Linked DNA regions of Lytechinus pictus. The protein of the gene in region 1 binds, or shares a complex with, the protein of each later gene. Links are inferred from orthologs where the notes say so. Each region holds a gene or a part of one and is shown on either strand. Other genes may lie near its edges.

The links.
Region 2: the proteins of protein SAND-like (region 1) and vacuolar fusion protein CCZ1 homolog are in contact, whole or in part, in a cryo-EM structure (PDB 8JBE), measured with the Drosophila melanogaster proteins. The link is inferred for Lytechinus pictus from reciprocal best matches to the Drosophila melanogaster genes Mon1 and Ccz1. Residues at the interface, in NP_608868.1 of Drosophila melanogaster: Trp112, Gln113, Phe120, Leu142, Val145, Ile146, Leu149, Phe152, Val153, Gln157, Asp158, Ala159, Ile160, Thr161, Ser162, Ile163, His164, Ala165, Gly166, Ile168, Phe170, Phe172, Arg185, Arg459, Ser464, Arg465, Pro466, Leu467, Lys468, Leu469; in NP_647835.1 of Drosophila melanogaster: Lys48, Gly51, Leu52, Ile56, Phe59, Thr60, Thr62, Phe63, Thr64, Asp68, Cys69, Gln70, Ala71, Leu72, His73, Thr74, Gln75, Lys76, Thr77, Ala114, Glu115, Ala412, Asp413, Asn416, Pro427, Ala428, Glu429, Glu430, Val431, Gln432.

The regions. Positions count from the first base shown.
Region 1 is NC_087263.1:8,031,062-8,038,269, forward strand, and holds the start of protein SAND-like, read right to left. Parts: upstream 3,015-7,208; 5' UTR 2,942-3,014; coding exon 2,874-2,941; intron 1-2,873. UniProt on the Drosophila melanogaster protein: Part of the Mon1-Ccz1 guanyl-nucleotide exchange factor complex specific for Rab7 that promotes the exchange of GDP to GTP, converting Rab7 from an inactive GDP-bound form into an active GTP-bound form.
Region 2 is NC_087254.1:25,997,928-26,005,726, reverse strand, and holds the start of vacuolar fusion protein CCZ1 homolog, read right to left. Parts: upstream 3,014-7,799; 5' UTR 2,920-3,013; coding exon 2,842-2,919; intron 1-2,841. UniProt on the Drosophila melanogaster protein: Part of the Mon1-Ccz1 guanyl-nucleotide exchange factor complex specific for Rab7 that promotes the exchange of GDP to GTP, converting Rab7 from an inactive GDP-bound form into an active GTP-bound form.

The DNA.
Region 1 (7,208 bases):
CGATGGAAAATGATACTCAGAGTGCATGAGAAAGTTGCCTTTGAGACCCGTGGTTTTCTTGACAGCTGAGGAAAACTTCAGCTGTGCGAATATTTAGCTGTTATATCAATTAGTAAAGACTAGAGTATATCGACAAATTTGAGCGGGGAGCGAGGGTGGGTGGAGGGAAAATGCGAGATGGGATAGAAGGGGAGAGATTTATTGCAAGAGGGAAATTGAGAGAAACAGATAGGAGTGCAAGAAGGGGGGGGGGGGGAGTGAAACTAGAGGGAGGAGGGGGTGGCAAGGACATTATGCGAGTCCAATCATCAGTCATGGTTCATAAAGAAACAGAGATGGAGAGAGGTGATTTCATGCAAGGGGGGAACGCAAAGAAAAAAAGAACTTGGCTAGAGATATAAGGAACAGAAATTTAGATGGAGGGGATGGCGAGGACATTCAGTGCGAGAGAGAGGAAGGGAGAGAGATTGCAAGAGAGAGGGGAAGAGAGAAATCGAAACTTCAGAAACAGGGGATTGGAATGGAGACCATTCATTTATGTACAAGAGTGTGCTCGTCCATTCGTTCATGTACAAATTGATGAAGCTATAGAACTATTTAGGGAAGTCCATGCGCCTGCGCACTTCAGATTTTTAGCTCAACTTATGAGTAATTCATGTACCATAGCGTTTCCATGTACGGAAAAAATATTCGCGGCCGGGCCGCGAATATTTTTTCCGTACATGGGAACGCTATTGCCGATGACCCTTTCTCAAGTTTCGATTTCTCTCTTCCCTTCTCTCTTGCAATCTCCCTTCCCCTCTCTGTCTGTAATAGCTCGCCTCTATGCTCTGTCTTACTTAGCACACGCCCTAGCTCTGTTTCTTTATGAATCATGAATGAATTGACTCGCCGTAATGTCCTTGTCACATCTGCAAATATCAGTGTTTCCCAGAGGGGGGGGGGGGACCAAAGAGAAAAGGAACTAAATTGGCCATCATAGAGAAAGAAACACTGATATTCGCAGATGGGGGTGACGAGGACATTACGGCGAGTCAATTCATTCATGATTCATAAAGAAACAGAGCTAGAGGCAGAGCATGTGCTAAGACATATGGAAGCAGGAGACCGTCAAAAACACGAATATACTTCGTGTCGTAATTCAATTTACTACACGACGTAAATAATACGTACTGTCAGTAGGGTGTCTGAAGCCACACTGGAAAGTGTCAGCATAAAACAGGATGATTTAGGGGAAAATATGGCACATTTTTTCGGGAAGTTCAGGCTACTAGAAAAATGTGATCTGAATTATTATCTTGTGTTTGGCATGTATGGACAGAGAAAATTCAGGGGCTTCTTTTGACAGTAAGGACAAGTCTATATGATCATTTTAAATAAGGATTTAGAGATAAATTGCAAACCCTTATTTTTGTGTGTGTTGAGATTGCCATTTCCCCATGCGTTTTCTATGGGAAAATGAAATTTCTGTTTTGCACAATTTTTTTTACTTTGTCGCAATTTTTCATTGTGATCTGGTTTCCAAATCTTTATAAAAATCATACCATCAGAAAGAGCATTAAAAAATCCTATTGGACTCTTTATGGACAAGTTTTTGGCATTAATAATAAATGTATTAACAGCTCTCGGAAGCTAAAAATTTGGATTTGTGTGTGTCCATTTCTTAACTACACAGTCTATGGCAGAGAAATGCTGAAAATTGACCTAATTTCATTCTTCTTTTTTGCAGCCAATAATTGGATTTTTTTCAAAAATGTTACATTTCTGTCAGTCTGAAGGTCATTTCTCTTCAAATTCACAAAGAAAATGTGATATTTTCTTGAAATAAGAAAAATAATTTTTTTCTCCAGACACCCTACTGTCAGTAGAGGCGCACGGTCAATATGGGAGACTCTCTCCAATAGGGGAGACAATCTCCCACATTGGAGACTTGCTTTGCGAAAGGACAAACGAAACAACACCAACAAAAGCATGATTTTTTCCACCCAAAATTTTGTCTCACTGAGGTCAGAAGCCCATTTGTTTTGTGTGTGATTGACAACAAAAATCCTTATCAAAACAAAAGTAGACGGTGAATTTTTAAAGTAGACGGTGAAAAGGGGTAATTTTTCATGAGGAATCTCCTTATCACATTTTTATTTGCCGCCAAGGTAATCCTTTTGCAGCAAATGTAAACAAAGGAAATTGGTCTCCAAAACTGGAGACTGTCTCTGAAATTGGATACCCAAATTCTTTACAAAAGTCTCTGATATTGGAGATAATCTCCCACATTGGAGAATGGAGACAGTCTCCAATATTGGCCGTGCGCCTCTACTGACTGTCAGACTGTAGTAATTCAAATTACTACACTACGTATTATTTACGTCGTGTAGTAAATTGATTTACGACACGACGTATATCCGTATTTTTGACGGTCTCCTGCTTCCATAAAGACAGGGCATACTTAGATAGTCATAGAGGCGAGCAATTACACAGACAGAGTCAGAGAGGGGAAGGGAGATTGCAAGAGAGAAGGGAAGAGAGAAATCGAAACTTGAGAAAGGGTCATCGGCAGTGCTCGTCCATTCGTTCATGTACAAATTGATGAAGCTAGAGAACTATCGCGAAGTCCATGCGTCTGCGCACTTCAGTTTGTTAGCTCAACTTATGAATAATTCATGCTCCATAGCGTTCCCATTGTAGGCCTAGGGCTAGGCCTACGGAAAAAATATTCGCGGCCGGGCCGGATTTTACACAACACAAAATCTTCCCCGCGGGACTACGGTAGAACGTACGCCCAGCTGTTCAACAAGTGTCCGTCAACAACTGCAGGAAAAGAATCCACCTTATTCAATCTAATTTTTCAACGAGCACAATCATCTAGCCCATCTCACCTTGCGCCTGGTTCCTCTCCTCGCAATACAACCGTCTCTTCCCCGACTGAAGTCGCTGCAGTAGCCATACTTTTCTTCCAACTTTGGTTATCATAACCGAAACAGCTCAATTGCACTCAAATTTCATGAAGTTAACGACCATTTTCGATATACAATACAGTATGGTATAGGTAGTGCCCACAAGGCAAATAAACCTGCAAAATCAAGGGCCATAAACTGGCATAAACTGCTTGCTTGGATTTTCTCTAACCATGCTAACCAACATTCGATGGCGTATTAGGCGGGGGGGGGGGGTAGGATCAGTCTGCCCCCCCCCCCTGGCGGAGGTCACCGGGGGAAACGGAAAAGTGGAGAAGAAAGAAAGAAATAAAAAAGGAAGGAAGGAATGAAAGAAAGAAAGCAAAAAGAAAGGGACTCAAAGAAAGAAGAAGGAATGAAAAAAAAAGAGGACAAATAAAATATGGAAAGCAAATAAAGGAGAAGAAAATGGGAAGAAATGAGATAGTGGGAAGCCTGAAAAGGCAAACGGACGGAAAGATGAAAAAGGAATAAAAGAAAAACACATGAGAAAAAATAAATCAAACCGAAATACTAATAGATGAGTAAAAAAGAGTGGGAAATAAATTTAGAGATGATAAAATGGAACTGTGGAATTTATGGCGAGAAATGGAAAGAAAAGAGGCAAGAAAAAATGTAAATGAGGTGGAATGGAATGAAGTAAAATGATAGGGGAAAAGCTTAAGAAAAAGTCCCCCCGCCCCGCAAAAAAAGGAAGTTCAGGCAGTAGAAGCTGCTGTTTTAGGACCTTTATTCTGTAGTGAACTTTTTTGTACAGCATGACAGTGGATTTCGCCTCTTTGTCACTTTGATCTCCTAGACTAGTAGGATCACTGATTTGCAGAATGATTTTTTTTTTTTTTGGGGGGGGGGGTAGAAACAATTTAGTTCTTGATGAACCTAACTCTAGATGTAGATTAGCCGGAATTGTAACTTGCGAGAAAACTTGAAGCATCTTATTTATACTCTAAAAGTCTCTATCATAGACTCTATGATTTTTTTTTTTTTAATTAATATTTTTGAGAAAAGTGTATGTCATAGATTCAACCATGTATAGTTCCGTGCAATCTGGGCAGGCTTTTTCCGCCCTTTCACGTTTGACAGAAATTTCACAATTTGGCCTTGGGAGAGGGGATCTTGAGTCAATGGGAGTGCATCTTCCTTCGGGATATATCTTCATCCGTCTGGGCATCTTCCCAAGTCATGGAGTCAGTGTCGGTAGATGATTCTCCCACTGAGGAAGATGGGGTCACTGATTTGCAGAAGGATTTTTTTTTTTTTTTTTTGGGGGGGGGGTAGAAACAATTAAGTTCTTGATGAACCTAACTCTAGATGTAGATTAGCCGGAATTGTAACTTGCGATAAAACTTGATGCATCTTATTTATACTCTAAAAGTCTCGATTATAGACTATGATTGTTTTTTTTTTTCATTTTTGAGAAAAGTGTATGTCATAGATTCCACATTCCTATTGCAGGAAGTTGTAAACTTTAAACGCTTCATACCTCAAAAAACGTCACATGTAGGCCTACTACTCTTGATGCCTTAAGTGACCTGTTCTATTACAGAGTCAGAGAGAAAGAATGAAATAAATAAATGAAAAGCCGAAATATATAGAATTGAAAGAGAAACAATATCAGGTCTTTTTTTTATACAAAATCCTGAACAAGTGATGATGGCACAATGTTGAAAACTTATTTGATGGAGATTTGCTGATTGAACCAACTATGACAGGGGACGCGGAACGGTTTTCAAAGTGGGGGGGGGGGGGGGGCTGACCATGCTAAAAACCACAATCATATGGTCATTTTTACGTTTTTGTACAAGGTTTTGGAAAAAAGTGGGGGGGGGGCTGAAGCCCCCCCCCCCCCCGGTTCCGCGGCCCCTGTATGATACAGTGTTGACAAAGTAAGATTGGTGGGACAGAAGAAGATGGTACAACGTTGGAATCTGGTTTGTTGCTGGGTTGTTTGCAAAGCATTGATGGCACTTCGTTGGATTTGTTTAAAATATGATGCTGGACCAACCAACGTTGCACCAACTCTGCCATACCTGCCTGATCTGGACATAATGATTTCAAGTTCAGTGTTGATATTTTGGTGTTGGTGTTAGGTCAATTTTTACACGATTATAACACGAAAATTCACTCACTAGTTGTCGTGATGTCAATAATGTGATCTGGATCAGTTTTAAAAGCTCATAATAAGTTTTGGAGCTAGGGGAAGTAATCCAAATTCCAACACCAACACTAACACCAAGGCCAACACCGGACTTGAAATCACCCAAAGATTATGCACTCATGAATATTCATTGATAACCAAAATTTTAGGTAATAGTCCATAATACAGCTATAATGATTAACGTATTTATGTTTATTCAACATTTCCACCATGGAAAGCTTGATAAAAGTACGTGGTTCAGTTATTACCATATCATTTATAATCGAAACATGTTATTCTAAGTGAAATTTTCCAGATTGATTATAGAAAAATGTTTTTAACCGTAGCCTGGTAGGTATAGCAAAGTTGCTCTACATATAGGAGTCAACGACATCACTCGGTGGATAGGTAAATGGTATTTAGGATTATAGGATGAGAAGGGTTAATAATAATAATAGTAATAATAATAATAATAATAATAGTAGTAATAATAGTAATGATGATAATAATAATAAAAATTACGTTTTTTACCGAGGGTAGCCACTTCAATTAGGAAACTGCATTACCAGCGGGCCCTGAATGACATAATATTACCCTTCCCCAATCTAAATGCTGAGCGTCTAGCAAGAAGGCAGAAGTTTCCATTTTTATAAGTCTTTGGTATGACTCGGCCGAGAATCGAACCCACGGCCTCCGTTCATGAGGCGGACGCTCCACCATTGAGCCACCATGCCCGGTTATAGCCACCATGTTAGAGTAAAGAGTTGTCAAGGTAAACTTCACATTGAAACCAATAATTTTTTTTTTTTTTAAGATTGCAAGAATATGTTCGAATAACGTTGTGACAATGTTGTAACAACATTAGAACGATGTTGCCAGACAACGTTGGAGCAATGTTGCTAAACAACATCAAACCAGCGTTGTAAACATAGTTGGACCGACGATGTACGGGAGTGTACTTCCATCGATGCTGCAACGTTGCCCTCTTATGTTGCAGCAACGATGTGATTGATGATACAGCCAACATTGAACCAACGTTGCCAGACAACGTTGGAACATTTTTAGCCGATAACGCTGATCCGACGTTGGAAACATTATCGGTCTGACGATGTATGCGCATGCACTTCGATCGATGATGCAACGTTAGAAAAGTTTTCCCTACGTTGGTCCAATTATTTTTTTCCAACGCTGTAATTCAGCCGACGTTGGAATAGCTTCGCCAGATAACGTTGGAACATTGTTGCCAGACAACGATGGTAGAACATTGTAAATATTGTTGGACTGACGATGTATGTACGTGCACTTCCATCAATACTTCAACGTTGTTCATAAAATGTGGCAACGTCGTGACTGACGATTCAGCCAGCAATGGATCAAAGTTGCTAGACAACGTTGGAGCATTTTTTGTCTGACGATGTATGCGCGTGCACCTATGTCAATGATGCAACGTCGCTAGCCAACGCTGAGGCAACGTAAAAAAAAATCCCAACGTAAATTGGTCCAACGCTGTATTGTTACCTGGGAACACGGCCAGGCTACCGAGGATAAAAAAAAAGAACGTGAAGAAAGAATGGGATGGCGTAGATATGTAAATGAAGTTTATAATTATCTTAATTGCTAAATTTCATGCAATAACGGTCGCAATCCAGACAAAAATTAGTGAACTTCAATATGTTCCGGAGGCACCACCCAAGCATTGCCTATGTCCCTAGCCAAGGCCTAGACATGCCCCTTTAATTACATTATTTACAATTTAAATTTCGCAACGCCAAAAATCTTTTTCGCTATCTCGTGAAGAAACAAAAAGAGAGGAAAAGTGTACGATATTTTATTTTCTAAATATCATGTCAAATCCACCTCTAAATAAGATTGTAATGTAAAGGTAAAAAAGAAATCAATAAATAAAAATTTTCTATTGCTTCGCTCCCTCGGGACTTTTATTTAAAAAAAAAAGTTTTGCCACTCGCTCTATGCTGTGCCCAATGCATTGTTTTACTCATCACGCTACTTCCGCTTTAGTCTACAAATGTATATAAACCGACATCTGCAGTGTGTGTATCACAGCTGATTCAAACAGTCTGCATAGCACTGATAGCAGACTAGGTCTACTGTGACTGCAG
Region 2 (7,799 bases), on another chromosome or scaffold:
CACTTTTATTCTAGGCAAATTTTTCTAAAAATGACAAGTAGGCCTTTCATTTTATAGTGCAACCTACTCCGGCACTTATCAAAGTGAAGATCTGTCGAGAAAAAATTCTTTCAGGGGCACCAAAATCAGTTCTGGTGAACATTTTTAGGGCTCCATTTTTCTGGGGCTTCCTTTCCACTTCTAAAATAATTCTTTGTTTTATGTTGAGTTTCCTGACAAAACTACCAAATTGTAGACTAAGAGAAATAAAAAAAAAAGTTGACATCAATTCAGACTTCTCTTCCCAAGTAACATTGTTTTTGCCAAACAGTACCCTTTAAAATTAAAGTGTCATAAAATGGAAGTGTACATGTAACATTCCACAAATATAGAAAAATTATTCATAAATCAATCTAATCTAAAATTCAAATAGATCTATAGATAAGTTGAAATCATTCCACAAAAGTCCCATCGTAAATCACTTCACGATGTGCACAGCTCAGCCTCAATCACACTGCACGCACACTCAATCATCCCCAGCAGTGACAGCACTATAGAGCAGACATCTAGGCCGCCAGAACCGGGGAAGAAATCTTCCCATTCCTGCTAAACTGAATGCTAAAGTGCCGACTTTTTTAATGAATTCCAAAGGCAGTAGGACATCTCTCTAGTATAAATCATGTGAAACTATCAATAAATGTTGAATATCACCCAGAATTATTACTTCAGGGGACAATGAAGAGCTTTCCAGGTCTTTTCAAAGCCGAATTCATCGTATTTGTTTGATACGAGTTGATGAAAATTAACCAGACAGTCCCGTTATCCGAAGGGAATCGATATTAATCAATTCAAGAAAATAGCCTCAAAATTTAATTTCTTTATCACTACAATTAATTTTAAAGTATATGAAAAATATCTTTTGATGATTCAATCTTTAATATATATGATGAGTATTTTTGTAAAATTTTGCAAATGGAATAATAATTTCCCTCAAACCTCCAAATCCCCCCTCCATTACAAATTGACTCTTCTCTTACTACATTTGGGGAATTACCCTACCCAATTCATCGTACTCCTCGCTCTGCGCTGCAAGAACAAACGTTGGCTCCACTCACCTGAAGAGTGTTGGCCCGTGCTTAAAGACAATGTATTAGCAGTAACGTTAGATCTAACATTCGGCGGAAATCTGATTTTCGGATCGTTTTTTTGTACATAAAACATCACTTTAATTATAGGAAAGAAATTACATGCAAATTTAAGATAAAATATATAAAATTCAGAGATATTGTACCTTAGACCGCAGTTACTGTTATTTCCTTTCAAATGATGATCAAAACATAATCATCCTCGATCCTTTCATTTGTCATCGTAAGTTGCCATCTTGGATAACGTCATCATCCTTACAGACGTATTTACCAGTCGCTATACATCGCGATTCGTACCATGCATGCCGCTCGCATATTCAACTAATGTACATGTACGTGCACGCTATCAAATTATTAAAGTGCGTTGGAAAACCGGCTGGCGGGCGACTACGCACGAGCAAGTACCAGGCTCATCTAGCACTCCACATACATTATCAAAATTGTCAAAAAACGTAATTTGAAAAGAAAAACCATAATGCCGTAATTTGAATGAAAAAACGTAATGATTACGGCAAAAACGTAATGGTTGGCAGCTCTGAAATAATATAGCAAGAAAATTTTCATTTTTTGTCTCTATTTTTAATTAAGAAAAAAATAATTTAAAGAATCAAATTTACTAAAGGGCCAAGTTGTATGATGAATAGGTGTAATGGAAACTGTCAGTGTAAAAAAATCAAGCATTTGTCCCAAAGAAAAAGAGAAAATAAGCCAAACATTGCCATCCTTATTTTGCCACACATGGACTGAGATATAACTGAGAACAAGGTTATATCTAACCCAGGGAGCTCCCGCCCGCACAGCGGGCGGGAGCCCAGGGGCTTACCGTGTATTTTACCATAATCACGGGACTTGGGTGATTTATGGTCTAAATATTTCTCCAAATGAATTGTGAGAACAGAAATTATGCACTTACCACGATTATATGGATCGAAGGTCTAACGAGTGGCAGTTTCCTGACATCTGGGCACAAACTGGAACCTCAAAAAAACGAAAAGTTCTCTCCTTCTACCCCAGTCTCGATCGGCCATTTTGTTACAATTCATAACAAAAATGGCCGATCGAGACGGGGGTAGAAGGAGAGAACTTTTCGTTTTTTGAGGTTCCAGTCTGTGCCCAGATGTCAGGAAACTGCCACTCGTTAGACCTTGGCTTCATCCATATATAATCGTGGTAAGTGCATGATTACTGTTTTCATAATTCATTTGGAGAAATATTTAGACCATAAATCACCCTAGTCCCGTGAGTATGGTCAAATACACGGTAAGCTCCTGGGCTCCCGCCCGCACAGCAGGCGGGAGTTCCCTGGGTTAGGTTATAATATCATATTCATAACCTTGTTCATTGACATTGAATGAGTGTCAAGAATAGCAAAGGCAAAAAGCAAAGCCTAAATCATGTAAATGCAGCCGTTCCCGATCGCGATATTTAGAAAAGCAGTGGGAATATTGACCTCGAAATGTGACTGAGAGACTTGCCATGACATTTGTAAACAATTCCTGGTGGGGAAATTTGCTCGAAGTTGGCCGGTGCGAAACTGCATTAGCGCCCCACCGACGGCTACATCTTTCGGCAATAGCCAAGACAGCACCTCCACGGAATCAAGTTAATGGGACCACAGATTCTCACCAGTACTCGATTTATAATATACGGAGCAGTGCTACTGCTGCTAGCTAGTGCTAGCGACAGAAACACGGCCTCGGAAAGAACTTATTCTCACCTCTCCTTCTCTGCATTTTATATTTGTATTGTAGATGAAGAAATTTGAAAGGTTCACTATGCTCCGCTGAGAGGTCATTATTCCAGATAAGGTACTTTTTAGGTCTCTTTCTTCGACTTCGTCTTCGCGTATCACGTCCTTAATTCCTTGAACAAAAAGTTAGGATTATGGTGTCGTTAATTTTGTGGGATTGGAATATACAGTGCGTCCCAAAAAAAACTATACACTTTTGAAATGGCTGCCAAATAAAAAATGGAGCACTTTGCTGAAAAAGACTTACATATATGGAAAGCCAATAAAGTCAACTTTCAAATGACACCAAAAAGTTGGAAAACTATTCATGCTTGAGCGAGCACTGCCCACTGAAACAAAGGGTATGAAAATTAGGGTGGGCTGGAATTAGCCTTCCAATTTGTGTCAGTTTTTAAGAGGCAAATCCTTTTAAACTTGCAAAGTTAAGGGCGTTGTGATAAATTAATGATCAACCATGACCAGTTTTGGTTGCATAAGCAAATTTCATAAATTATGTAATTGAACTTTAATGCATTAGTGAGCATAAATTATACTTTTGGGGCAGCATTTCAACTTTATCATTTGGATCTCTTTTTTGGGCAGCATTTCAACTTTATCATGTGGATCTCAGCAATGTGTTCATGGGAGTCTGGAGGATAGGGGGTGAGATAGGATTTAAGTGGGAGAAGCAGGTTGATGGAATAAGGGTCAACAGAACATTGAGTCCCCGCCCCCTCCCTCTTTCCCACCCTCCCCCTCCCTCTTTCCCATCTTCCCCTCCTGTTGTGAGACTGATGGCTATTGTCATGTATGCGTGAAGTCCAGAGCAGAATGTCGATTTAATGATAAATTCTGAATTGGGGCATCAACTTTTTCCTATCAATCATTGAATCAACAATTTATTAGTAAATCAACTCATTCAATGTGCAATGTGATCAATCAAACATTCATTTTTTTTTCAATAAATTATTTCATTAATCATCATAATCATTAAATTTCTTGGTAATGATTCCAAAAAAAAAATTGACCATCAGCCACCGGTCACTTGGCAGTTAAGTTTTGAATAGGCTACAATCCAGGAAAAGAGACAGAGAGAGAGAGGGGGGGGGCTGGGAAATGGAGGTGGAGAAGGGATGGTACATATGACTATTAATATGTAAAAAGGACAAAAAGAAGAGGAATGCCCTTTTAACCAAGTCTTAGCATATCTCGCCCTCTTGCTTGTAACAGGTACCATCATATTACTCTTCCTCTCACGAACACACTTCTGAGGTCCAAAAGATGAATATGCTACACTAAAATTACAACTCCGGCTCACTCATGCATTAAATTTCAATTTAGTAACTCGTGAAATTTGCCCAAGAAACCAAAACTTATCTTACTTATCTTATCATCAATTTAGCTTAACACCCTTAGCTTAGCAAGTTCCAAAGGACTAACCACTCCAAAAAACTGTAAGGCTAATTCCTGCCCAGTCTAGCCGAGCTTAATCTCTCAGAAGAGAAGTGGGGGTTGAGATGGAGAGAGGGGTTGCTTAAATGTTCTGTTGACCTTTATCCCATCAACGTACTTCACCTACCTAAGTCATATTACCCCCTCTTCTCCTGACTCTCATGAACACATTGTTGAGATCCACATGATAAAGACAAAATGCTGCACTAAAAATTGCAATTCATGATCACTCATGCATTAAATTTCAATTTAATAACGCATTAAATTTACACAAACAACAAACTGATCACAAATGATCTTTAATTCACCAAATAACCCTCAACTTTTAAGTACCAAACAAAAAAACCTGAAAGAAATTGGAAGGCTAATTCCGGCCCACCCTAATTTTCATACCCTTTGTTTCAGTGGGCAGTGCTCGCTCAAGCATGAATAGTTTTCCAACTTTTTGGTGTCATTTGAAAGTTGACTTTATTGGCTTTCCATATCTATAAGTCTTTTCCCCCAAAGTGCTACATTTTTTATTTGGCAGCCATTTCAAAAGTGTATAGTTTTTTTTGGGACGCACTGTATATACGGTATATAGAGAGAGACAGAGTGGTGTTATAGGGATGGTCCGGGCTGAAAATATTTATAGCTTAATAAATAGAGTAGAATTCACTGAGCAGATCAGCAGAATGCCGAAAATTTCATCAAAATACGATAACAAATAACAAAGTTATTGAATTTTAAAGTTTAGCAATATTTTGTGAAAACAGTCGTCATGAATATTCATTAGGTGGACATCCCCGTCACATCTCCACTTGTTCTTTTGTATTTTGAATGAATGAATGAATCTTTATTTCGTTTCAATTCCGATATCAAACAACAACAATAACAACAGTAAATTATTGGGAGAACAAGTAAATAGCAAAGAACAAAAGTAAATAATTACAGGATAATATACATAATACATGCACTACTTTTTATGGAACATTAGTAACACCCATGAGAACAGATGGAAATGAAACGTGGTGACCTACTAAGAAGCTTAGCCGCTTGTTGGCCATATGCCACCAGAATGTTAAAAACTTATATTAGCGTGAATCATTTTAAAACATCATAGAACAAGTAAACAAAAAATTGGAGTAAACAACCAAAGTACAGATATACATATTTACAAAAGATACACTAAAAAGTAACAAAAAGGTGAAATGCAGAATGCAAACATTCTATTAGACCTAAAGTATAAGAATCTGAAATTCGAAAAGAAAGAAAAGAGGAAAATATAAAGAAAATAGGCAAAGCTCTATTGTTGCATAGATAATTGTGGGAAGAATACAATTTCTAAAGTTAGACGAGATATAACAAGCAGGTATTCGTTTACTGATTTAAGTACTTCTTCAGTAAATCGGTCTTTAACTTGTTTCTAAAAACACTAAGGCTAACTGATTGGTTCAATGAAGAAGGAAGGGAGTTCCATAATTTTGGCCCTGTATAAACAAATGTATTTAGCCGAAAACTAGTTTTGACCAATGGCAAGTGGAGAAAAGAAACTTGTCTTGTATAGTAAAAATGGATTTGGTCATTTCTAGGGCAAGTGGAAGTTCTCTTTTATTTAATTGATACATAATGCAACCAAGGTTGAGATCAAATATGTCATGTAAATTAAGGAACTTGTTTTCATAAAACAAAATATTTGTGTGAGATCGTGAACTTACTCCACATACTAGTCTAATTACCCTTTTCTGGACTTTAAATAACCCATCCAAATGAACTTTAGCAGCGTTACCCCAGGCATTATATAAAAAATTAGGTTTATTCAAAGTTTTTCTCCAAGAACTAGAAAAATTGTATTGACAACTGATTTAGTGCATTAGATATTTATTGCTGCAACTTATTTCATGATATGGGAGACATATTATTCACACAAGTATGAAATAATGAAAACAAATATGATTTTATGTAATAACATAAGAAAACGGAAAGTGGGGATGTGACATCATCAGCCCACCTAATGAATATTCATGACGACTGTTTTCACAAAATAAACTTTAAACTTCAATAACTTTATTATTTGTTATCCGATTTTGATGAAATTTTCAGCATTTTGCTCAGTGAACCCTATTCTATGTATTAAGATATAAATATTTTCAGCCCTGACCATCCCTTTATTGAGTCAACAGATTTGGGGTACATTTTGTCTCATAATGCATGGCCCTGGGATGGGGGGTTGGGTTGGGTTGGGTTGGGTTGGGTTGGGTTGGGTTGGGTTGGGTTGGGTTGGGTTGGGTTGGGTTGGGTTGGGTTGGGTTGGGTTGGGTTGGGTTGGGTTGGGTTGGGTTGGGTTTGGTTTGGTTTGGTTTGGTTTGGTTTGGTTTGGTTTGGTTTGGTTTGGTTTGGTTTGGTTTGGTTTGGTTTGGTTTGGTTTGGTTTGGTTTGGTTTGGTTTGGTTTGGTTTGGTTTTGGTTTTGGTTTTGGTTTTGGGTGGTTGGTTGGTTGGTTGGTTGGTTGGTTGGTTGGTTGGTTGGTTGGTTGGTTGGTTGGTTGGTTGGTTGGTTGGTTGGTTGGTTGGTTGGTTGGTTGGTTGGTTGGTTGGTTGGTTGGTTGGTTGGTTGGTTGGTTGGTTGGTTGGTTGGTTGGTTGGTTGGTTGGTTGGTTGGTTGGTTGGTTGGTGGATGGATGGATGGATTTATTGATTGATTGATTTCATTTGGCAAGTCACCATAACACATACAGTAGCATTAAAAATAGAAATTACTCAATAGTATTTTGTACCAGGTACGATCGAAATACTATTGAGTAATTTCTATTTCTTTTTCTGCGATATATTAATAATTTCATAATTAAATTATTTTTCCTTTTAATAATGTATATAACAATGATGCCGTTTATTGATTTATGAGCCATAAATCAATAACCGTCTGGGATAAAACCTACACGGCATGTCAAATTGCGTTACAAATCCATATAAATTCACATCAAAATGGAACAAATTATCTGGTATACTAACATGTAACTATTAATAGTCACTCACCCTTAGTGGTGTATAAGCCAAGTCAGCTCCATCAATAAATCACACCCTAAACATGGCGTTCATTAAATTAGCCACGTCAGCATGCCCTATTTATATTTCATCTAGTATGCGATTTAAAAAAGAACAATCTCAATAATTATAGCCCTAAAATTATTTTAGATACGGCGAGCGAAACTAATGATAAAAATAATCATCAGTTTTTAAAATGCTTTCACAATTTATCAATTATCAAATTCTGTTTGGCGACCAGTGAATATCGAAACAATAGTAACCGCTTCAAAGTTCTAAAAGCGTCAAATACCAATTGATTAAATTCCTGATTACCCCAACATGATCATAATCAAACAAATCATGCTTTTCTTGCAAAAGGTATAAACATTCATCTGGAAATAACTTTCATCCCTAAAGTCACATGACCAGTACCGTAAGCGGCAAAATTTAATGCCACGCCCAAAACCCAATCTGTACCAACATTGTACAC